Linked DNA regions of Arabidopsis thaliana. The protein of the gene in region 4 purifies or fractionates together with the protein of the main gene of each other region. This does not show direct contact. Each region holds a gene or a part of one and is shown on either strand. Other genes may lie near its edges. The genes, in order: SEC6, SEC15B, EXO84B and CLUB.

The links.
Region 1: the proteins of CLUB (region 4) and SEC6 purify together in Arabidopsis thaliana (affinity purification with western blotting; one study listed by BioGRID). This does not show direct contact.
Region 2: the proteins of CLUB (region 4) and SEC15B purify together in Arabidopsis thaliana (affinity purification with mass spectrometry, with the first as the bait; one study listed by BioGRID). This does not show direct contact.
Region 3: the proteins of CLUB (region 4) and EXO84B purify together in Arabidopsis thaliana (affinity purification with western blotting; one study listed by BioGRID). This does not show direct contact.

Annotation. Positions count from the first base shown.
Region 1 is NC_003070.9:27,008,034-27,015,600, reverse strand, and holds the start of SEC6 (SEC6), read right to left. Parts: upstream 6,038-7,567; 5' UTR 5,727-6,037; intron 5,632-5,726; 5' UTR 5,580-5,631; coding exon 5,451-5,579; intron 5,258-5,450; coding exon 5,219-5,257; intron 5,133-5,218; coding exon 5,044-5,132; intron 4,957-5,043; coding exon 4,866-4,956; intron 4,696-4,865; coding exon 4,606-4,695; intron 4,501-4,605; coding exon 4,430-4,500; intron 4,179-4,429; coding exon 4,086-4,178; intron 3,732-4,085; coding exon 3,573-3,731; intron 3,247-3,572; coding exon 3,139-3,246; intron 2,943-3,138; coding exon 2,807-2,942; intron 2,714-2,806; coding exon 2,669-2,713; intron 2,330-2,668; coding exon 2,274-2,329; intron 2,165-2,273; coding exon 2,056-2,164; intron 1,728-2,055; coding exon 1,587-1,727; intron 1,487-1,586; coding exon 1,373-1,486; coding exon of another isoform or gene 1,307-1,372; intron 966-1,306; coding exon 882-965; intron 796-881; coding exon 709-795; intron 532-708; coding exon 487-531; and 3 more. UniProt on the Arabidopsis thaliana protein: Component of the exocyst complex involved in the docking of exocytic vesicles with fusion sites on the plasma membrane during regulated or polarized secretion. Involved in polarized cell growth and organ morphogenesis.
Region 2 is NC_003075.7:1,036,464-1,041,579, forward strand, and holds SEC15B (exocyst complex component sec15B), read left to right. Parts: upstream 1-1,650; 5' UTR 1,651-1,693; coding exon 1,694-2,677; intron 2,678-2,728; coding exon 2,729-4,108; 3' UTR 4,109-4,135; exon of another isoform or gene 4,136-4,311; intron 4,312-4,351; 3' UTR 4,352-4,601; downstream 4,602-5,116. Other genes in the region: AT4G02340 (alpha/beta-Hydrolases superfamily protein), read left to right, coding at 331-569, 670-940; AT4G02360 (transmembrane protein, putative (Protein of unknown function, DUF538)), read left to right, coding at 4,716-5,116. UniProt on the Arabidopsis thaliana protein: Component of the exocyst complex involved in the docking of exocytic vesicles with fusion sites on the plasma membrane during regulated or polarized secretion. Involved in polarized cell growth and organ morphogenesis.
Region 3 is NC_003076.8:20,249,975-20,256,826, reverse strand, and holds EXO84B (exocyst complex component 84B), read left to right. Parts: upstream 1-1,787; 5' UTR 1,788-2,060; coding exon 2,061-2,201; intron 2,202-2,362; coding exon 2,363-2,477; intron 2,478-2,677; coding exon 2,678-2,748; intron 2,749-2,908; coding exon 2,909-3,006; intron 3,007-3,216; coding exon 3,217-4,237; intron 4,238-4,630; coding exon 4,631-5,146; intron 5,147-5,360; coding exon 5,361-5,549; intron 5,550-5,644; coding exon 5,645-5,781; intron 5,782-5,867; coding exon 5,868-6,024; 3' UTR 6,025-6,341; downstream 6,342-6,852. Other genes in the region: AT5G49840 (ATP-dependent Clp protease), read right to left, coding at 153-203, 417-496, 601-701, 789-850, 928-1,584. UniProt on the Arabidopsis thaliana protein: Component of the exocyst complex involved in the docking of exocytic vesicles with fusion sites on the plasma membrane during regulated or polarized secretion. Involved in polarized cell growth and organ morphogenesis.
Region 4 is NC_003076.8:22,097,763-22,102,799, forward strand, and holds the start of CLUB (CLUB), read left to right. Parts: upstream 1-2,001; 5' UTR 2,002-2,293; coding exon 2,294-2,357; intron 2,358-2,750; coding exon 2,751-2,980; intron 2,981-3,252; coding exon 3,253-3,434; intron 3,435-3,794; coding exon 3,795-3,978; intron 3,979-4,250; coding exon 4,251-4,341; intron 4,342-4,563; coding exon 4,564-4,724; intron 4,725-4,837; coding exon 4,838-4,927; intron 4,928-5,021; coding exon 5,022-5,037. Other genes in the region: PHOS32 (Adenine nucleotide alpha hydrolases-like superfamily protein), read right to left, coding at 65-120, 1,211-1,931. UniProt on the Arabidopsis thaliana protein: Specific subunit of the TRAPP II complex, a highly conserved vesicle tethering complex that is required for the proper transport of proteins in post-Golgi trafficking pathways to the growing cell plate in mitotic active cells.

The DNA.
Region 1 (7,567 bases), on a different chromosome or scaffold from region 4:
AAGTTGGACAGAAGACCATATCTTAATTCTGAAATGATTATGTTATAAAGAACACAACTATTACATTATATAACATGTAGAAAATCAATGCATATGAGAATAGTTTTATCTATTAAAAATCAATGGAAACCAGTAGCAACAGTATCAAGGAGGTGACAACGACTCGACTGCCTCTATTCACACATTAGTAAAGCTAATAGATTAGTTCTTCAGAATAGTAGATACCTTTCTGGTAAAGCTTGACAAGTAATTCCTGAACTCCTGGATCCTCAAAGATAACGCGAACTGTTTGATGCACTGCTTCCTGAAATCAAAGGACCAGATGGGACTTGTGTAAAATCCAACATAAATTTTAACTTTAAAGATCGCAAGATCAAGTTGAAATTTCATTTCAACAGCCATCTGGGCAACTGTAAGGCCATAAATCGAGATGCAAAAACTATATTTGGATTGAAGACCAGGGAGAAAAAGGAATCTTTGACGAACCTTAGCCACCTCCAAGAAACCTTTGCAAGTGTCTTCAAAATTCACCTGACAGAAACACCACATTAGAGAAGCATTTTATTAGTATGCAAACAAGAGTGTATGTGCACATAGACGTGGAGTATAGTGGGACTGAGAGTGGGCATGATGCAGTGGAATTTGACATATCCAAACAAAATAATCAATTGCAACGAAATTGAGCTCAGAAACTGGCAGCTGGATTACCTGCTCTGCATAATTTTGTGGAAGAGCTTCTAAAGTGCTATTACTTAACTCCATGGCAAGGTCGTAGCAGCGAAGGTTGTTGTTTATCTGTAGTCAATATTAACATATAAATATTCGTCTGAAAATGGGAGAAAGAAATAGTGTCATCAAAAGAGTCATATCTTTTGACATACCATAGCGCATAGAGGTTCCAGACCAATATCAGATGCAGGTTCATCAACTCTCTTCTTTTCAGCTGCTTGGAAATCAATCATAACCTGAAGTAATTCACAATATGAATCAAAATTTAGAACATGCACAATGCTACAAAAGTTACGAAATTTAAGAAGTATAAAAGTTAGACACAATGAAAGAGGGGGGAAAATAGAAAAGAGAAAAAAGGGGGTAAACGGAATTCAACGATTTTGGGTGAGATATGAAAAAAAAAGCTGGGAATGGGTAAAGTCTCCAACATTAACTTTCACGAGTCTTAGAAGAAAGCAAAGAACGATTTGAAATTTCTGAGTATATATAGTAAATAAATAGCCTGAGTAAGGAAATGGAATATTTTCAGTTCATAGCCGAACAAAGAAATGTCTTTGCAACCTCTTTAACTTGCCTGAATAATAGCTAAAGCAATCCTGTACAACATAACATCCGTGCTGTTATCTCTGACAATTTGCACTTGCTCTCCAAGTATTCTGAATAAATCTACAGCAGCCGGTGTATATAATTTTCCTTCCTCAGTTTTTTTAGGTGGTTGCACCTTATCCGCCTCTAGGATATTCATGTACCATTTCTGCAACCAAAGAATTGGCAACAAAAGTTTAAGCAAAAAGAATTATAAAAATTTTTAACGTCAAAAACTAGCAGAGTAGGTCAAACGTGTATGTCATTACCTTCGTTGTAGCTTGCATTCTTTCAACATATGCATTCATTAGAGGATCCATTGAACCGCTCTCAGAACACACTTGAGCTAGTGAATCATCAACACCAAGTGCAATCAAGTTTTCTTGGTACTCTACCACCCAACCAGTCACCTAGCAAGATCGAAGAGAGAAAGAAAAGATACATCACTCTCTAAAGGATACCTAATGCACAGAGACAAGGTAAAAAACGAATGAGGCATTTTGATGAGGCAACACAAAGACAGTCACATAATATTAGTACCCCCTCTTATAATTTCCCATGGTGTTCCCTGTCAAATAACTCGGACTAGCTTGACATTTACTTAAATATCATGCATGGTTGATTAAAAATGTCCTTGATATTCAGTCAGAAAACACAGAGCCAAAGCACCAAAAGCAGTATCTGCAAAGTTTGAGTTGCGACACAACATGGGAGAACTAAGAATCATGCTTTACATACCTTTAAAATCTCTATATTTGTCAGATCGTTTGCTCTGTCACTGAGCAATCTGAGCATTTGTATGAATCTCTCGGTATACAGGTTCACCATAAGCTGAAATATCTCGTATCTGCCAGCAAAGAAGATTGCTAAGGAACCCTTTTTCACTTGGGGAACAGAATAAATTTTAAGCTGTAATCTTTCATTGTCCACTTGAGGAAAACGAGATAGGAACAAACCTTGGAGGAAAACAAGGAGCCACATAGTCATAAATATCTCCAAGTTCCTCTCCAATCTAGTTGTGGAACACCATAAAAAGAAAGTGAAAACCCAGTTGATAAATATATATTTGTGAAAGATAACAGAAGAAAACGAGGTTGACATCAATCATTATGGAACAGGAACAGTAATATAAGACGGTCAGGCCAATTTGGAACTTTTGTATCAGAACAGTAACATACTACTAGTTCATCAACCATATTTATTAAGAACCAAAAAAAAAACTAATTCAGTCAACTAAAGGTGATCTACTGAGAAACAAAAATATATTAGATAGTTGAATATAATTTCATAAACTGCAGAAAAGAAAAAATGAAGAAAAGTGTATGAAAGCAAGGGAAACAGTCGCACAAACCATTCTAGCTTCTTCCAAAGCTGCTTTTAGATCTTCAAAGACAAGCTGTTCAATAGTTCAGTGTTAGGATGACCACACAGAGAAACACATTACTTGTAGCTATGCCATCAAATGAAATTTTCAAAAAGAAAGTCCCACCGTCAAAAGCCTGTTGAATCGATCTTCAACCGCCTTCCGAATTTGCTCGTAGCATTTGTCCTTGTAGCCTTTCCCTTGGACTTTTAATTTCTGTTGAGCAAGACCCTTTGACGACGCTGACGTTGTAGTAGATTTCCTGGATTCAACAGAATAAATATAGGACATGTCACAAATGATTATGGGGACTTTAATAAAATTCCATTGCTTTTCAGGACATTAAATCAATGCAAAATATAGCTTAGTCAAACCCCTAGTAAAAAAGTGAAAGATATTTTGAATAACAGATAAGACAACAAATCAAGACAAATACGAACAAAAAATATCAGACTCACTTGCCAGGCCTTCGAGGATTTGCTACAGATGCCATCGCACCTTCTCCCTCAGCCTCTGCTGCTTCTTCAGCAAGCTGTTGGTCTAGAATTTCTTGCATCTCAACAACCCTTTGATAGAATAAACCATTGAAAGTTAGTACCAGTTCTAGTTAACTAGTTCACTTTAAATTAGTCTACTCATTTTCTTCTGGATAGGAGACTTTGTGTTTAAGAAACTTCTAATGCCAAAATAAAATCCATGATATTGCAATGCATGTTGCATTAAAGGAAGTAAAAAGAAACAATTTGCTTGTCTAAAAATGATTGTCACAGTAACACAATGACTTCGCTGTCCTACTAAACCAGTTTGAACTGATCTTGATGCTAATCACCAGAAAATAGGTATACACTATCTTCCTTGCTAATTAAAATAGATTTGTTTGCAACAAAATTACTGAAACGTAATAATTTGGGAATATATGCCATAGACAAAGGTAAAGAATGTCTCTGGTGGGGGATCATACCTCAAAGCACGAACCAGTGTTTGCGGACTGCAGAACAAAGATACATCAGTAAGTTTAAGATAAACCAAAAGGATATGTAAGATTTGATATCTTAGCAGAATTAAGAGCTTAACAACAGGAAAATAGCTTATTTCAACATGGAGCAAAGTCTAAACGTGTACTTAATCCCCAAGGTCTGGCTAAGAACATAAAACAGAGAACAGAGCATTACATAAACTATGTATTATCATATAAATGCTCATATATAGCTACAGAATAAAGGGTACAGTCCAACTATGTCCATCTCATCTTTTGACATTGCTTGCATCCTTGATCTAACTTCCTAGCCTTACTCTTATAAAAAACCAGCAAGAATCATAGTTCTAAAATAAGGCAGTAGAAATAATTAAAAAAAATGGAATTACACGGAGAAGTTGAGCATAATCATATATTTACTCAAAATACCTTTCTTTAGAAAGTTTGTAATAGTTGGAAACATGACCCCATAGTGTCTTCTCGAATGTTTCCCATGTTCTATCAACATCTTCAAAATACTCCCTGAACCCATCAAAACAACTCTTTAGAAGTTGGTATGCATGCTCATGTAAAAAGAAAAGACAGTCCAGAGGCGGGATCAAATCATCATATGCACTACCAAAAGAGTAACAGCTCTACCTACTGCTCATTACTTTAGCATAGAGACCTATTTTCTTTCATAGCACACCAGTAACTCTTGAATTAAAGCTTTCGGGCTCACTTCATGTAAGTACAAAAAGCAAAGAAAGGAAACGAGTGGAATATATACAAACCTCAGCCTCCCAACCTCCTCTCCAGCAGCTGCTAATGCAAATCTTCGTTTACCATCAAGTGCTGTTAATCTCTATGGAAGAAAAACAGAATATTATGTCTTACACCAAACGTTCTTTTTTTCAAAGTGATGCAGTCAGAAATGCCTGGAATCCATGGGAAGAGGAACTCATGCTACCTCATAAGTGTTAACGATTTCTTTATCATCACTCAAAGAATCCCTAGCCGCAGCAGCTTCAACAGAAATTGACATCATACCTTCTACATCCTTGAAAAAAGAGAATGAGGTAAAAATAAGTTGACAAAAACTTGGAAAGCATTTAAACATCTGAGACGACCATGCAGAGCTATATATATTTGCGTTCAAGAATAAGTTAGAAGGACAACACTGAACCAAATACTGTAAGCAATACAATCAGTGCTCATCGGCATATCTACCTTTAGAGTTTTGTTTAGATTATTCCTGGCGTTACTCAGCAGCTTTATTTGGTCATGATTGTCAATCAAAGTTTGACATTCCTGACAAAGCCTGTGGCACAAGAAGAGAAGTTAGAGGGAGAGAAATGCAAAAGTTGGTAACTCAGCTTCAAGAATCTCTAGTCAAGCAAAAACATACTTGTCGATAGAAATGAAATTATCCCGCAGTTCATAAATGGTTTTCTCAGATGATGAAAGTGACTCTAACCCAGCTTGAGCTTGTTCAACCTGAAGTTTGTCAACAGCTATTACTTAAGAACAACAAAAAAGTCGAAATACATTAAAGTACAAAGAAGGCCAGATTAAAGCTGTACCTGCTCAGCAACCATAGTACTGAGCTGTGCATCATTTGCCTGATTGAAACAGCAAGCATCACTAGTCAGGTCATTAAAAATTTCCAGAAAATCGAAAATAAAAGATAACAATAGCATATCAAAACCTAACAACTCAAATCTAGCATTGCTCAGGAATCACTAATACTCAGTGCAAATGATACTTCAAAAGCCAATTCAGTTCCAATTGCAATTCAAAAGCAAGATGTCAAACCTGTTGACGAGCGATGTAATCGGCCTTGATTGAAGAAATAGACTGCAAAAGTTCAGGTAAGGGTAAGAGCTTCGCCACTTCTCGCACAGCCGCTTCCTTCGCTTCCACACCAAGATCTTCGACCATCATCTTCGCTAAATCACCTTATTTACGAACTCCGATCCTAAATTGAAGGCTACCTCTGCAAAGTTATTCAAAATTCCAGCACAATTACGATAACGCAGAGGAGAATCAAGAGATCTGGAAACAGAAACGTAGAGGAAAAATGGACGCAACCGAATAAGAAGTCATTGAGCAAATATCGAGAGCCAAATGTGCGATTCTCCAACTTCAATTACTTCGTCGTCCTCTTATCTTCTTCCTTCGCTGATTCTGAAGATCCTGGAAACAGTGATGTTGGACGCAGATCAGCTGGGAAGAGAAGCAACGATTAAATTTCTGGAACGAGTCTCATCTATCGTCTCGCGACTCTAATGGAAAGTTCGGAAACGCTGAAATTTTCCGTCTCGCCGGTTTTGATTTTTCTTTTTCTTTTTTGCCAGCTGTTGATGCAAACCTATTTTTTTTTTTTTTTTTTTTGCAAACGCTAACGCTAATTCGTTGAGCAAAACGCAAATCTTAACCCCATGCTCGGGTTCGTGTTATTTTTTATTTTTTGTTATATGTTTAATCATTTGAAATGTCACTAAAATATCATCGATTTTAAATCTTACCATAACGTATCGAATTCGAAAATATTAGTCGTAGGGGTCTGATTGGTTATCTAGCGATGTTACATACGTTTGATATTAATGGGGTTGCATATGTTTTGATAAGTTTATAATTTGACGACATGCTTTGCAAAACTTGGATGTGATATATTAGTTGTGATATCATCAAAGTTTTGCACATAACGTAGTACATGTAATATATAAGAAATAAATCGATGAGATGGATGGAATATTGAACTCGACGAAAAAGAAAAACAAAGCCTAAGAAAATGACAGCTTCCAAGTACAAACTATTTGAAAAGAAATTTGTAAAATCTCATAAATATCAATAGAATAGAGTTACAATATTTTGAAACAAATAATTATTCATCTAGAGTCCGTTTAGCGTAGAGGATAAACGGACGCACAATTTTCGACAATACATTTATATAAATATAATCAGTAGCAAAATGATAATAGTTAGGCATTAGAGTCACTAGGTAGTCTAGGTTCACAACATGGACATACCATGCGACGTAGGTAATGGCCATACAAGCACGAAGCAAGAGCTACCATAAGGACGCCCGATACCACGCCGATGTATTCTGTCAAATGATACATGTCCATCTTCTTGTTCACCACACCACCAATCTCTAATCTTTCTTAACCTTTTTTTTCGTGTACTGATTATATTTATATACATGTATCGTCGACACTAACTTTACATTTTTGTAAATATATCAGCAACATTTGGTAAGTTTACATTTTTTCATTAAGAACATACTAGAGAAAATTCGAAAGTTTACATTTAGGAAAAAATCGAAAATATATTATGTTCGAATTCTTTCTAAAATACTCCACAAACTGATATTATGATATTTACTAATTACTACTACTAGTAAAAATATATTTTAAGATATGTGTATTTCATTATTCAGCTTGTTTCAGATTTTGATGGTTTACATAAAAAGAAGAGTCATTGGTATCTAAAAGGAATAAGATCTACAGAGTTATATATCAATTACCAAATATGTGGATGTGATATATTCTTTATCTCTTTTATATATACACTAAATTTCTTTTTCTTCAAAGGAAGCATCCAAGGACAGATAAATAAACAGACAATCTACAAACTTTTTCATATGTTTTTCTTAAGTTTTAAACGTAATTATTATGAATAGTTTGGAATGATACAGTTTTAGTCACTAACCAAAAAATATGATTAGTAGCTAAATAAAGTACATTTATATGACATATAAATACTTAAAAAACGTACAAAAAGATTGGTGCCATTTGTGTGACACAGAAAATCCCAGCAAATGTCGAGAGAGAGAGAAAGTATAAAGAATGTGACCGGCAAAAAAGAGATAAAACAGTAGAGAACCATATTATTTGCCATTTCTTAGAAGAATCCACTGCATGATATTC
Region 2 (5,116 bases), on a different chromosome or scaffold from region 4:
TTCAAGAAAGTTGAGCTTTTTATGTGTAAATGTATACACAATGAGAAATTTCTTAGCCACTATTAGTTTCTGTTTGTGTCTATAGAAACAGAGACCAGCCACCTACCTATACATAGCTGAACTTAGCTCAGGCTCTGACTCTGATAATGCAAGTTGCTATTGATGATTAGAAAAAGGCAATTAGTGCTTACTTTAATATAGTGCAGTCAAAGTCAAAGTCATTTACTTTATTTGAGTTACTTGCTTTAAGTAAATGTAGTTGGATCAGTCTTGTGGTCTTCAATTGCTTAAGTTGGTCCTACTAAAGATTTTGAGTTTCTTTTTTCTCAGGAGCCTGGAGAGATCGAAGAGGACTTTGCTCAAGTTGATACAAAAAAGTTAATAACCAGATTTTTCACTTCGCGTAACCCACGTCCACCTTGCATTCCAAAGTCAGTTGGTTTCAGAGGTTTACCTGATCCACCTTCTTTGCCCGCTTGGCTCACCGAACAAGATGTCAGGTTCTACGGAGACAAGTTTAGCCAAAAAGGCTTCACCGGTGGGCTAAACTACTATCGCGCCCTGAACCTGTAAGTCTTATGAATTCTAGCCACCTATTCTACATCATACAATCATCTTTTCATGGTTAATCTTGGACTTGAATCAATCTGGTCTTATCCTAACCTGCAGAAGCTGGGAACTAACAGCTCCATGGACCGGTCTACAAATCAAAGTCCCTGTGAAATTCATAGTGGGTGATCTAGACATAACATACAATATCCCCGGAACAAAGGAATACATACATGAAGGTGGTTTGAAGAAGCACGTACCTTTTCTACAAGAAGTGGTGGTAATGGAAGGTGTAGGTCACTTCCTCCATCAAGAGAAGCCTGACGAGGTCACTGACCATATCTATGGCTTCTTCAAGAAATTCAGAACCCGCGAAACCGCATCCTTGTAGTAGTTCTCCGTCTGCACAATGTCAAATTCAAGGTTGATTAAGCTTGATCAGGGTTACTTACTGTCTTAGAGCCCTACTATGTAATGTTTTCAAGGATGCTATCTGTGTATTGTGCTTGTTTAATAATTTAGCAAAATATAATAATAGAACAAATAATTTCTCAAATGTTGGCCATCTCCAGTTCAATATATCCTTAAACTTTTCTTATGTCCAAATTAATTTTCAAAATGTTGAATTCCTATGGTTTCTAGAAAACTTCAATTAAGCATAGATGATTTTTTTTAGGTGAAATTAATATCAAAAAACTGAAATATATGTACAATTTTATCAAAAATTATAAATCTACTAAGGACATTTATACCTACCAACTGAATAAATTCAATAAAATATATAATACCAATGTTTTTTTTTTGTCAACAGAATTGGTGTATTAATTTTTTGGCAGTGGATATTTTCAACAAAATCTAAAGCGCGTTCGACCACGCGCCTGTGACGCGTAAAACTCAGTTTGACAAATATTCACAATTAATTGAAGACGCCAGTCAGAAGAAAAAACCACTACGCAGCTTGAAAAGACAAACACACCCTCGTCTTCTTCCGTCGCACCGCTTCTACAGCAATGTCATTTTAGTCAAACCCCAAAATTCGAGCTCCCTTTGAAGAAAAAACCACCAAATCAGTTTCGTTGTCCCAAATCCAAAATTCCTCCTTCTTCTTCGCTGTAACGCTTTATACCTAATCGGAGATAAAACAATGCAATCGTCGAAAGGACGGCGGAAAGTTGGCTCCACAACCGCCGGAGCCGGTATAGATTCGGCGGAGAAGCTCGACGAGCTCTTGATATCGTCTGCCATTTGTAACGGTGAAGATTTAGGACCATTTGTTCGGAAAACTTTCGGTACAGGGAAACCAGAGACTCTTCTTCACCATCTCAAGTTTTTCGCACGATCTAAGGAATCAGAGATCGAAGAGGTATGTAAAGCTCACTATCAAGACTTTATCCACGCCGTAGACGATCTTAAATCGCTTCTCTCAGATGTTGAATCGCTTAAATCTGCGCTTTCCGATTCAAACTCTAAACTCCAATCTGTTGCGGCGCCGCTTCTTTCGTCTCTCGATTCGCTTGTTGAGGCTCAGACTGTGTCTAAGAACGTCGATCTGGCGATTGGAGCGGTGACTCATTGTGTTCGTGTTATGGAACTTGTCTCTCGAGCTAATCAGCATCTTCAGAGCGGTAATTTCTACATGGCGTTGAAATGTGTGGACTCGATTGAGAGTGATTTCATGGAGAAAACTCCTTCGTCAACGCTGAAACGGATGCTTGAGAATAGGATTCCGGCGATTCGATCTTATGTGGAGAGGAAAGTGAATAAGGAGTTTGGAGATTGGTTGGTTGAGATCCGTGTGGTGAGTCGGAATTTAGGTCAGTTGGCTATTGGTGAAGCTTCCGCGGCTCGTCAGCGAGAGGAGGAGCTCAGGATCAAGCAGAGACAAGCGGAGGAGCAGAGTAGACTTAGTCTACGCGATTGCGTTTATGCGCTAAACGAAGAAGAGGATGATGAATTTGGTTCTGGCCATGAAGGCAGCGATGGTGGTAGTTCCGGAGGTGGATTGCTAGGTTTTGATTTGACACCACTTTATAGAGCTTATCACATTCATCAGACACTATCTCTTGGGGATACTTTTAAGCAGTACTATTATAACAATAGGGATCTTCAGCTTACCTCTGACTTCCAGGTATCTACTATGACTCCGTTTCTCGAGTCACATCAGACGTTTTTCGCACAGATTGCTGGGTTTTTCATAGTAGAGGATAGAGTTTTAAGGACTGGAGGAGGGTTGATTTCGAAGCTGGAAGTGGAGACTTTGTGGGATACTGCTGTTACTAAGATGTGTGCTGTGTTGGAGGATCAGTTCTCTAGAATGCAGACGGCTAATCATCTCTTACTGATTAAGGATTATGTGAGCTTGTTGGGGGTGAGTCTACGCAGGTATGGCTATGCTGTTGATTCCCTTCTCGAAGTATTAAGCAAGCACAGGGACAAGTATCATGAGTTGTTACTATCTGATTGCCGTAAACAGATCACAGAAGCTTTATCAGCAGATAAGTTTGAGCAGATGTTGATGAAGAAAGAATATGAGTATTCCATGAATGTGCTCTCTTTCCAGTTACAAACATCAGAAATAGTACCGGCATTCCCTTTCATTGCTCCATTTTCGACCACCGTCCCAGATTGTTGCCGGATTGTGAGGTCTTTTATCGAGGATTCGGTTAGTTTCATGTCTCACGGAGGTCAGCTTGATTTCTATGATGTAGTGAAGAAGTATCTGGATAGGCTTCTAGGCGAGGTTCTCGATGAGGCTCTGTTGAAGCTGATTAGCACGTCGGTTCATGGAGTTTCTCAGGCAATGCAAGTTGCAGCAAACATGGCCGTATTTGAACGAGCTTGCGATTTCTTCTTCCGTCACGCTGCACATCTTTCAGGAGTTCCTTTGAGAATGGCGGAGAGAGGTAGGAGGCATTTCCCATTGACGAAATCTCAAAACACTGCAGAAGATACACTCTCAGGAATGCTTAAGAAGAAGATAGATGGTTTCATGACATTACTCGAGAATGTCAATTGGACAAGCGACGATATACCACAAGGTGGGAATGAGTACATGAACGAAGTGTTGATCTACTTGGAAACTTTGGTTTCCACCGCACAACAGATCTTACCCGCTAAAGTCTTGAAAAGGGTTTTGCGTGATGTCCTTGCTCACATTTCTGAGAAAATCGTTGGAACGTTATGCGGGGATCTAGTAAAAAGATTGAGCATGGCTGCAATCAAAGGACTTGATGTGGATATTCAGTTGTTGGACTCGTTTACAGAGAACCTAACTCCATTGCTCACGGATAAAGAAGCAAGAGAGATGAAAAAAGCGTTTGTCGAGATAAGACAGATGATCAATTTACTTCTGAGTAGTCATCCTGAGAATTTTGTAAACCCGGTGATCAGAGAAAGAAGCTACAATGCTTTGGATTACCGGAAAGTAGCCACGGTTTCAGAGAAATTCAGAGATCCATCAGATAGTATTTTCGGGACTTTTGGAACAAGAGGGTCGAGGCAAAACCCGAAGAACAAATCTTTAGATGCGTTGATAAAGAGATTGAAAGATGTGAGCTGATGATGGATCCCAGCACAAACCCAAAACGTAAGTACGATCCCGTCCTTTGTGTTAATTATATGATTGCTTTGTATTTCATTGTTGATGATTCGTTGGTCTCTCAAAAAGAAAGGCAAAAAAAAAAACACTAAAACTGATTTCACCCCAATATTGTTTTTTTTTTTTTTTCTTCTTCCATTAATAGCATTTTCGTTAATGAGTTCAATAGTTTGATTTTGAATTGCAAAGTTCATGTCACTGCAGCCTTTCACTATGCCGTAGCTTTTTACCGCATTAAGTCATCAATCGGATCCTTAGTACGGTTTTAGTTACGATCATGAAATAGTAAAATCAGTCCAGTGGAATGCAAACTTGGCTGAGTTTCTTTATTTCAATCAAGGTTGGTTTGGTTACCACGTGATCGTCGTTTTTCCCTATTAACACGTGTGCTCTCTCTGTCAATCAAATCGTCACCGTACATCTAATTTGCATGGTCTCTTCATCAGACAGTCCAGAACACACAAACACCTAACAACTGTTTTCGTCTTCTGTACTTAATGAGACACTTCAAAGCTTATGCTAAATTAGACACGAATCATAAGAGCAAAACTTAAAGAAGTAAAGAACCATGTCGCTAGACGCGAATACTTGTTCTATCGTCTTCTTTCTATTCTTCACTGTCTCTTTCGCCGTCTCCGGCCAAAAGCCAACCGCTTACGACGCCGTCAAACTCTATAACTTACCACCAGGAATCCTCCCAAAAGGAGTGGTTGACTATGAGCTTAACCCAAAAACAGGCAACTTCAAAGTCTACTTCAATGACACGTGTGAATTCACCATCCAATCCTACCAGCTCAAGTACAAATCAACTATCTCCGGCGTTATATCACCCGGTCATGTCAAGAATCTGAAAGGAGTTAGTGTTAAGGTTCTTTTCTTCTGGGTTAATATTGCTGAAGTGTCTCTTGACGGCGCCGATCTCGACTTCTCCGTCGGAATCGCGTCGGCGAGTTTTCCGGCTGCTAATTT
Region 3 (6,852 bases), 1.8 Mb from region 4:
TGTTACAAAGACAGGAACAAAGTACATTTGTAGTTTCAGACGTAGTCAGCGAAAAACTATTTCGTAAGCAGTTGTTAAGATTATATTACAAATGAAGGTATAAACAAATATGTAAAACCAGAGACATAATATGAGGTGATAGTAAGACATACCACATATAGTTTGTACAATATTGATTCCACATCTTCACCAACATAACCTGCCTGGACAAGAAGAGTAGTTTAGTTATGCTAAGAGCAAGACTTGTGTTAAGATTCCTCTAAAAAGCAAGAAAAACATCATCACTTCATTCAAAATATTTTTCGAAATGAGGGATTGTAAGGCATCCATCCTAGTGGGCCTAATGCTTCCCTAATGTACAACATACTAATGTTCTGAGTACCCAAACCTTAAGAGGGATAAGTGAAACAACTTGCCTGAGTTAGTGAAGTCGCATCAGCAATAGCGAATGGCACATTGACAATACGCGCCAAAGTTTTTGCCAGTAAAGTCTTTCCTGTTCTTATAACCAAGCAAGAAACATAAAGGCCAAGATCATTATCATACTAAACAGTATCTCCAAATACTCTCCAAAACAATATGGCAAGCAACAATATGCACCTGAACCAGTAGGACCAAGCAACAACACATTACTCTTATCCAACTCCACGTGATCAATATTATCATCCTCCATATCAATGTTATATGATTCTGAAGCAGACCTGTTATTAAAAAAAGAGCAAAAGAATCGAGCTTTGTTGTATCCCATATAAAGTATCAGAATGATAAGAGCATGGAAGAAGACAAACCCTTTTTTCCTAGAAGCATGATATATTCTTTTGTAATGATTATAAACAGCCACAGAAAGAACCTGCACAAAAGGAAAGATATGTAAACAAGAATCTAATTTAGACACAAAGAAGAAGAAGCTAGGGACCGAAACCAAACCTTCTTAGCCTTCTCTTGACCAATGACAAACTCATCAAGCCCTTGACAAATTTCCTTAGGAGTTGGAAGCTTAATCACAGATTGCTTCTCTTTATCACCACCATTACTTTCATCCTCCTCCTCATCAGCATCCTCACCATCTTCATCGCTTCTAAGACCTTGAATTTTCCAATTCCTAGGGAAAGATTTCTGATCATCATCATCATCATCATGGTCATCATCAGTTCCTTTAACTTTCCCGAGTTCAATAAAACTCCCTTGTAAAGGAGAGAGCTTGAATGGTCTAAAGTAAAAAGCTGTTTTGCATTGAGAACAGAAATTAACAGCTTGATAGATCCCTGGTTCTCTTGCTGTTAGAGACAATGGACGATTTGAGAAGATGACGTGCATCTGAGCAGAGCAACGAGGACAATTGACGTCACTTCTGATGTGATCATAATCATCTCCGCCGCCACCTCCGCCGCCGCCGCTGCAGGAGTCCCAAATACGGCGGGAGAAGGAAGAGGAAGGGATTAGGGTGTTGGAAGAAGGGCGTAGAAGAGGGATGTGAGGAGGAGAATCAACGGAGAGAAGGAATCTGAAACTGCGAGAGAGAAGAGATGATGATGTTATTGTCTTCCTCGAGACAAATCTGGAAATGGATAAGCTACAAAACATCTCTCTCTGTTGTCTCGATGATATGATTCTTCAAAGGTTTTTGCTCAGATTTACATTAACGGCAATCTTAAAGTAAGCATTCTTTAAAACGGCGTCGGTTTAGCTCAAGTGATGGCAGAGGTGAAGGATAAAGGAAAGCCTCCGTGCAAATGAGAGGGTTTCTGTTTTGCCGTTTACTAGTAAAAAATCCAGTAAAAAAAACCCAGAGTCGTTATTTTATTTATTAGTTTTCAACAAGAAAATTCGTTTGTTTAAGCAGACGAAAAAGCCAAGCTACCGTCGTTGGCTAAATCGCTCTGGTTGCCAACTCGATCATCATCTTCTTCTACCCACTTTCTCTATCTGCTCTCCGTATCTAGGAGCTCCCTCAGATCTGTGCTTAATTCTCCGGTAACATTACCGGCATCACTGGGATTGCTGATCTGGAACCGCTGTGAAATTTTAGGTTTTCTCTGAGAAGACAGGCAAGTTTAACGATGGCGGCGAAGACGGCCAGATCAAAAGCTACGCCGACGAAGGAAAATGGTGTCAGAGTCGAGGAAGGATTGAGTCTGTTCAAGTCTGATAAGTTCGATGCTGATGCTTATGTGCAATCCAAATGTTCTATCAACGAGAAGGTTTTTTTCTGTTCTTTTATCATTTCGTGTTCTTATTCTCGTTGATTTGTTGTTATCACGAGTGAGAATTTTCTAGGACTGAGTCTGTGGGGACTTGTTCGTAGATTTGGGATTGTATCATCGCAGTGTTCTTGTTTTGTTGCATTTCGTTTTAGCTGTAGGAAATCGTAATTGTGGAATGGATATTAGGTAGCAGCAGATTTTATACGCTCGAGAAGATGATGAGCAATGTAACAATACTCATTGCTTGTATGGTTGTTCTTGTGATCTTCTGGAGTTTGAAGGCAGTTTGTGAATTATGATTATGTAAAAATGTTACTCTTAAGAAATGCTGATAGGTTTAGTACCCATTTATAAGCTTTTAGCTTGCCAAATGATGTGTTCAGTGTAATACAGAATGTAGCTCATGTGAATATACATGGATGACTATGTCTTGTATCAGAGACAGAATCTGTTGTTCTCGTTTTCTGTTACAGAAAAGATTCAATTCGGTTATGGTATTGGGTATAAAGGGTGTCTCGTCTGTGTAGTCACTTTCTGTGATGGTGTGAGAGAGCTGAGGGAAAAGTTAGTTTAGGCCTTCTAGAGTTTACTACAAAAAGAGTAGTGTTTGATTTGGTTAACATAGATTGTTGGATTACTTGGCTGGACTCTTTGTTTTTTCTCAGTTATTTTGGGATGATGACATATTTCTGTTCGGTTCACAGGATATAAAGCAGTTATGCTCGTATCTATTGGATTTGAAGAGAGCATCTGCTGAAGAAATGCGGCGAAGTGTTTATGCTAATTATCCAGCCTTTATACGGTTAGCTGATATCCTGTCTGTTTTTAGTGCTTGGTTATTTTCTTTGAAGTTGATGTGATAATAAAGCTCTACTTTTTCAAGTTATTTCATTTCTTGTGGGTATTGGTGCATTTGCGTTTTGCATATGACTTCTTTTTCCTCGCACTACCTTATTGTTTTTTCTTGGCGGTGTGTTATTTTGAAAATTAAACTTTTTTCTGTTCTGTGCAGCACATCTAAAGAGATATCAGATCTTGAGGGGGAGCTATCATCTATCAGAAATCTTCTCTCCACTCAGGCGACTCTAATCCATGGCTTAGCAGATGGAGTTAACATTGATGACGATAAAGTTTCTGATGAATCTCTTGCGAATGGTTTATTGAATTTTGAGGACAACGGCCTCTCTGATCTGGAGAAATGGGCTACGGAATTTCCTGACCACCTTGATGCTTTATTAGCTGAAAGAAGGGTGGATGAAGCTCTGGCAGCTTTTGATGAGGGAGAAATTTTAGTATCTCAAGCAAACGAAAAGCATACTTTAAGCTCTTCTGTACTTTCATCTCTTCAGTTTGCTATTGCCGAACGCAAGCAAAAATTAGCTGACCAACTTGCCAAGGCTGCTTGTCAACCTTCAACTCGAGGTGGGGAACTTCGGTCAGCCATAGCAGCTCTCAAAAGGCTTGGCGATGGTCCTCGAGCCCATACTGTACTTCTTGATGCCCATTTCCAGAGATATCAATACAACATGCAAAGTCTTCGTCCTTCTAGCACCTCATATGGAGGGGCGTACACTGCTGCACTTTCTCAGCTTGTGTTCTCAGCTATCTCTCAAGCTTCTAGTGACTCATTGGGAATCTTTGGGAAAGAGCCAGCATATAGTTCTGAACTTGTGACTTGGGCTACTAAGCAAACAGAGGCGTTTTCCCTTCTTGTTAAAAGGCATGCATTAGCTTCTTCTGCAGCAGCGGGAGGACTAAGAGCTGCCGCAGAGTGTGCACAGATAGCTCTTGGGCATTGTTCTTTGTTGGAAGCTCGTGGTTTGTCCCTTTGCCCAGTGCTTTTAAAGCACTTTAAGCCTATTGTGGAACAGGCATTGGAGGCAAATCTTAAGCGAATTGAAGAAAACACTGCAGCTATGGCTGCTGCAGATGATTGGGTACTGACAAGTCCTCCTGCTGGTAGTCGTCATGCTAGTACAGCATTTCAGAATAAGCTTACATCCAGTGCCCACCGGTTTAATCTCATGGTCCAGGTAGACTATCTTGACAAACACTTTTCTCCGAAATTTTCAGCCTTTTTCTAAAGTTGTGCTAGAAAAATAAAGTGCTTAGGAAATGCAGACATGCCTAGAAAAATGAAATATTTTTCACTCTTAGACGTCTGGTGTGTCTCTTAGATATGCCAGTATCCCATGAAAATTGCTTATAATATGAGTTTACACATCAGCTGTAAAATTGACTAGCCATCGTTGATGACGATTGATTAGAACTTGCACTCGCGTTCCCACTGAAAAGTTATTATAAACTCTAGGCAGTACCAATTCTGTCTTAGCTGCTCTGATAGGCAGAGGATTCCCAAGTGGACTGTCATGAACTTTGGATGTATTTGTCAAGTAGATCCTTTTGATAATGGTATTTTGTTGCAGGACTTCTTTGAGGACGTAGGACCTCTGCTAAGTATGCAATTGGGAAGTAAAGCTCTGGAAGGTCTGTTTCGGGTGTTTAACTCATATGTAGATGTGCTGGTAAGAGCACTTCCTGGTTCGATAGAAGAAGAAGATCCAAATTTTGAAAGTTCATGTAATAAGATTGTCCAAATGGCTGAGACGGAGGCAAACCAACTTGCATTACTCGCAAATGCATCATTGCTAGCGGATGAATTACTTCCACGTGCTGCCATGAAACTCTCTCTTGATCAGACTGGTCAGAGGACAGACGACCTAAGGAGACCTTTGGACAGACAAAATCGTAATCCTGAACAACGAGAATGGAAGAGGCGTTTACTTAGTACTGTTGACAAGTTAAAAGATGCGTTTTGTCGCCAGCATGCCTTGGATCTCATTTTTACTGAGGAAGGAGATAGCCATCTGTCTGCGGATATGTACGTAAACATAGATGAAAATGGCGAGGATGTGGACTTCTTTCCATCTCTGATATTCCAGGTAGTTGTTGTTTCATTTCCATCAGTCCAGTTAGCCTTTATGAAGTACTGTACCCAGATGTGTAGTCACTTGGGAACTCTTATCGGCAGATTGGATACTGTAGAGTTGAATCCATGTTTGTCATAGTCTACTGTCCACTTCAAGAACATGATTTTTTTCTGTCTTTTTTAGCTTAATATTCTTATACTTTGGGTGTTGCGTCGTTGGAAAACAGGAACTTTTTGCCAAACTTAACAGGATGGCAAGTCTAGCAGCAGATATGTTTGTAGGAAGAGAAAGATTCGCCATATCTTTGTTGATGCGATTAACAGAGACTGTGATCTTATGGCTTTCTGGAGACCAGAGCTTTTGGGATGACATTGAGGAAGGTCCTCGACCTTTGGGACCTCTTGGCCTACGGCAGGTTTGTACACTCATTCTTGCTTCTGTATATGTATATTCAGCGAGCATCGAAATTGTTGTGTACCTTTGTTAACAAACAACCTGCATCTGTCACAGCTGTATTTGGACATGAAGTTTGTCATATGCTTTGCATCCCAAGGTCGCTACCTATCGAGGAATTTGCACAGGGGAACTAATGAGATAATATCTAAAGCCTTAGCAGCTTTCACCGCAACAGGGATAGATCCATATAGGTACATCGGTTTTGAGGGTGTTTTGCAATGTTTTAGCCTTTATGGTAAGTATAAATGATTAAAATGTGGTTGTGAATGATGTGCAGTGAGCTGCCAGAAGACGATTGGTTCAATGACATATGTGTGGATGCGATGGAAAGATTGAGTGGCAAGACAAAGGGCAACAACGGGGATGTCCACAGTCCGACTGCTTCAGTGTCAGCTCAGTCTGTTTCATCAGCGAGATCTCATGGCAGCTATTGAAACCAAACCCATCTTACATTTGTTAAGAAGGTGAATGGTCAATAACTTTTGATCTTCTCTTTTCAGCTCTGCTTTTCCAAAAGCTTTCTATTTTGTAGAGTCTCCAGTTGTTGATGAGATGATTTTGGGGGCGTGTAAATGTTGTTGAGTTGACATGTTTGTTTTCTTGTATTGGTCCTCTCTCTCTCTCAATGGATGCATTCTTTGGGTTAAAATATTGAAGAGAGTGTTGATCTTTCTTCTCTATGATACACTCTCTTTCTGTTTTGGTATTGGATCAGATGTAGCAAACTTGAATGAGATATCTTACGATTCACTTTTTGTATTTCCTACTCGAATCATGTAGTTCATAGCGTAAATTAGTTTTAAGTAAATCGTGTTGTGTAAACTCCTAGTCTAATTCTTGGTACGGTGGGTCGGATCTTGGGATGTACAAAAGTTTGAATAATGGGTAAGGACGGTTACCTACCACATGGACCCTTAAAGGCTTGGTAATTTGGCCACGCATGCCCGATAAGGCAATAATCATTCGCGAATGAGGCTTAGAGATGCTAGAGTCATCCCTCGCCATTGATGCAAACACCTCCTTTGCTTCTCTACATGTTTGAGATTCATGTTTTGACAGATGACAAACAAAAGTAGGTGGTGATACTCAGGCTGTGAATGGTAACCAAAACCGTATCGCAACAGTGCTGTAACAGTATCAAAATCTTTACATATACATATGTATCTATGTATTTTCGTTCCTATTTGAACCGCACCGCACTTCTTCCGCACCGCAAAACGCAGTCACCATTCGGAGCCTCAGAATGTATAAAACATGGCAAG
Region 4 (5,037 bases):
TGTAACCTATAGATAATAGCCTTTTTACCTTATCAGTGTACATTCAGATCTTTTTACAAATTCACTAGGTAGCTCCGATCTTGTAACGTATACCAAATGCTCCAGAACTAACACCAGTGACTATCTTACAGAAGAAGCAATCTACGAAACTCAGTAACTTTATTTGACAAGTTTTCATCTGAACTTGTCATAAAAGTAAGAAGGTAGTGCCTACATCTCAGTTAGATTTGATATCTAAACATTACCCAAGAGTATAGATAAAAAAAATTTTGGCATGTTAACCAGATTCTTCCTACATATTCCCATTCTTTCCTAAATTTTCCTCTGTTAACATTGTAACCTTTCCTAGTCTGGACCAAAGCAAACAACAACAAAAAGTATAATTGAAGCTTCCTTTTTAGAACTACTGCACTATTTGATTTTCAATGTTTCATACAACAACAAGTATACAGTCACCAACTTACGAAATGAGGGGTTATAGAAGACATAATTTCTTATCTGCCTTTTCCCAAGTCAAGAATCATAATACTTGGATGCTAATGATACTTAATGTTGCCTCAAACTAAACCGAACAGAGGAAAAATAAATCAAACAAACTCACTTAGAAAAGTTTATCTTCAAGGGTCAAAAGAAACTTTCCTCTGGACTAGAGTACTTTTAATCTAAAGTCTAAACGCAATCAATGGGTAGTGTAAACAATGCAAGAAATAGAACGATGTCGGCGCTTCTTTGTCCCATGTGTAGGGGAACAATAATCTTCTAACATATATTACAGCAAATTAGCCATAACCACCAAAAATTATGATATATACTATACAACTAACTTCAGTAAATAGAAACAGTTTCGGCAGATGAAGAAGATATATACAAATTCATAGAACGAATACACTAAAGCTAGGAAATCATCTATGTACATGACCATCATCCTCAATTTTCGGGTAAGCAAGGCAATGAACATGGACAGCATTTCTCACTAAATCGACAAAATCATCTTAGTTCAGCTATAAAAGGATCTCATTTTCCTGTGCTACCATCTATGGCAATCTTTTTCACAACATATTCACGTGATCACAAAATTCACAACACTCACTACACTACTGAATCTAAATCTGACACATCAACAGAAACATCCATGAAAAAAATAACAACGAAAGCAGCTTATCTAATCAATCACTGAATCACATAGAGATAGAGATAATTGATCCCTGACCTTTGATGTGTTCATGATGAGCAGAAGCAGAAGCAGCAACAACATCTCCATCATCATCTCCACCAGACTTGACAGTAACAATAGGCACAGGTCCATCACGATCATCAGGATATCTAACCACAACAACAGGACAAACACAGTGATGAACACAGTAATCACTAACAGAGCCAAGCTTGCCATCACTTCCTCTTTTTTTCTCAGCACCAAAACCTCTACTTCCCATAATCACAGCACTAAGACCAAGCCTCTCAATCTCAAGACATAATCTCTCTCTCATATCATGATCTTTCACTATATGGATCTTATAAGGAAACCCTAACTCCTTCAACGGTTTAGCTAGATCCGCAACTTTTGTTGAAGTAAAAGCATCAAAATCCTCTTGACTAGGTTGAGGTTGAGCGTTTGGATCTTCAATTTGAGTTTTCAGAGGGAGAGGTCCCCAATCGGCACCGAAGAGGACGGAGGTTGGAGAAACGTGGAGAAGAACAACGGCGTCTCCGGGACGGATGTAGTGATCTACAGCCCAACGAACGGCGAAAGAGCTTTCTTCGGAGAGATCAACTGCGACTCCGATTTTACGACGAGCTCCGGCGGTTGGTGTTGGAGTTGCGGCGGAGGAGGGAGTAGATGAGGAGTGGTGATGGTGAGAGTGACGTGGAGATGGAGGGTGATGGATCTTGATGTTTGGAAGCTGTGGATGATCGGAATCTGCTGGATTCATGATTTTTTTCAGATGTTGTTTTTGTTCGTCGGAAAGTGGGAGTGAGGGAGGTTTCTCTTAACGGAGAAGAAAGAAGCGTTGTTTTTGTTTTTTTAATAGAACATTAGACTGCATGCCGTTATTTATATACAAAGACGACAAGCATTCTAATATAGATGTAGTTAATAGAAGGAGTGATCCAACGGTCAGGATCAAATCTGAGCGCCATAGTTTTGAAGAAGACGATTCACTAGATCTCCGGCGTCGGTGATTTCCTCCACTTCCTTTTCTGGCAGCTAGAAGACGAAACCTCACTCAAATTCTGATCTCTTTGTATAATTCGATCGAGTTATTCGTATGATTCGTATAGATCGGTGACTCAGATGGCGAACTACTTGGCTCAGTTCCAGACGATTAAGAATTCCTGCGATCGTCTCGTCGCCGCCGGTGAATTTCTCCCCAATTTTTTTCAAATGTGTACATTTCTAGGGGTTTTGTTTCTCTACGATTGCTGCATTCGATTAGGATCTTATTTCTCCTTTTTTTTTTCTGCCACATTTTGCGATGTCATAGCTATATATTAGTGGAAAGTTTCTCAATGTAGGTGAAGGATCAAATCAGATGATATGAATCTGTTAGGTTGTTGGTTGGTCAGGTTATACTCATGAATGAAGCTAAAAGTGCTTAGAAATGAGCATCCATTCCTGAAGGGAACTGATCATGATGATTTCTTTTGTTTCTGATCTTAAACTCTACTTGTTCGTTAGTATTAAGATGTCTTCTCTTTATATTGTTCCCGTTGCTCGTTGTAATAGTGGTTGCTTGCATATTCTTTTACAGTGGAAGATGTGTGTGATCTGTGGCCTACAGTGAAAGGTTTATTTGAAGAACATCAGCCATTAAAAAGAGCATTCTTGACTAACAAGACTCGAAATCCGGTTTTTGTTGAGAACTTGCCGGTTGAATTCATATTAACTACAGACGCGAGGCTTCGTAGTCGATTCCCGCAGGAGCAGTATTTGTTCTGGTTTCGAGAACCATACGCAACTATAGTTCTTGTCACATGTGAGGTACTTGCTTGTTGATATGATGATATGTGTTTTTTTTTTCTGTATCAATCTTGGCAGTGGAGAGTAGTCACGTGCCAAAATATGAAACAAAGATGATGTGCTTGATGATATTCGTTTCTGTTTTCCTTTTCTATAAGAGATAAGAACCTATGTTTAGATAGTAGGTACCGTTTCTAATGTATATGGTTTCTGGATTAGGTTAGATTTATCACTTATGTGGTTCGACAATTTTTGTTCTTCTAGCTTTTCTGAGTATACCTTTGACCTTGCAGGATCTTGATGAGTTTAAAAACATTCTCAAACCACGTCTGAAATTAATTGTTCAGAATGATGAGAGGGAATGGTTTATTGTATTTGTATCTAAAGCTCATCCAAGTAATGATCAAGCAACTAAAAATGTCAAGAAAGTATATGCGAAGCTTGAAGTTGACTTCAGTTCAAAAAAGAGAGAAAGGTAAGCTATGCAGATTGGACTGTGTTTATGTTTTTTTGCTCTGATACAAGCAGGCACGAACCGAAAAAATACCATGCCAGATTCCTAATGAGACTTGATTGCTCCTACTATAGTTCTAACATAAATAGATTAGGTTAAACAGTTTGCACGATTGCAATCACTCATATTTTTGCTAGATGCATAAACTAAACCCATTTAGCAGTAATCACTCATTTAAAGGAAGTTATCTTTAAGTTATATACTTATGGAAATGCAGACGGGATAAACGCTAAAACACCTTTTTATTTACTTGATCAGTTTTACTTCATTTATGCATGCCATACATAGTCTTCATATGATAATTTTTGCAATGCTTTTAAGGTGCTGTAAGCTGGATGTACATGGCCCTGAAGGAAATTTTTGGGAGGACCTTGAATTAAAGATTACCGAGTGCATCAGGAATACCTTGGATAGGCGCGCACAATTCTACGAGGATGAGATACGCAAGCTCAGTGAGCAGCGGTTTATGCCAATATGGAACTTTTGTAACTTTTTCATCCTGAAGGTTAGCTCTCTTCTCAATTTGTGAATGGAAAGTGACATGTGACTTCTACGCAAATGAATAAAATGGTTTAAAATCCTGTTTCTTCCTTTTTGTAGTTAGATTTTATACTTTTTTAATAAAGTCTCTGATGGAGATTTATGTGCCCCTTTTGTTTCTTCCATAGAAGTATGAAAATAATCCCCAAGCTTAGAAATCAACATTGGTCCTTGCAGTCACATTTGATGAAACTTTTCTCATTTTCTTAAAGGTCATAATGTTCTATGCTGTCTCAGGAAAGTTTGGCTTTCATATTTGAGATGGCTCATCTTCATGAAGATGCATTACGTGAATATGATGAACTAGAGCTCTGCTATTTGGAAACAGGTTCTTTTCCTACCTCTATATCTCTCTCTTGCAGATCCGTGGCAGCAAAAATTTCATGTTTTGTCTATTTGTTATATTTTATATTCTTAGGTTTTGACAAACCTGACATGTATCTTTATCTCTTAAAGCATTTGGGATCAGTATTCATCCAACAAACTGATTTCTTTTTTCAAGTTTTTTTTTTCTGAACAAATAATCTATCATGCATCACCTTCAATGCAGTTAATATGCCTGGGAAACAGAGGGATTTTGGAGGATTCGACGGTGAAGATGACCAAGCTGTGCTGCTGAAACCAGGAAGCAAACCATTGACACAGATTGTGCAAGATGATTCTTTTAGAGAATTCGAGTTTAGACAGTATCTCTTTGCCTGTCAATCTAGGGTTGGTGCACACAAGAGACATCATATCGATCACAGTGTCCTTTTCTCCTTTCAAAACTGTAGCTTTACTTTTACAACCTTTTCATTAGCTTACCTCTATGTGGTTCTTTGCAGCTGTTGTTCAAGTTGAATCGTCCATTTGAAGTTGCATCTAGGGGATATTCTTTTGTTATTAGTTTTGCAAAGGCCTTGACCCTTCATGAGGTAGCCTATACTGTTACTAAAGAAACGCTTATCTTACTTTTGGTTAGTTGATTTGACCGACCTTATTTCCTCTCTTCTTTTGATATTTTTGTAGAGTGTACTGCCCTTCT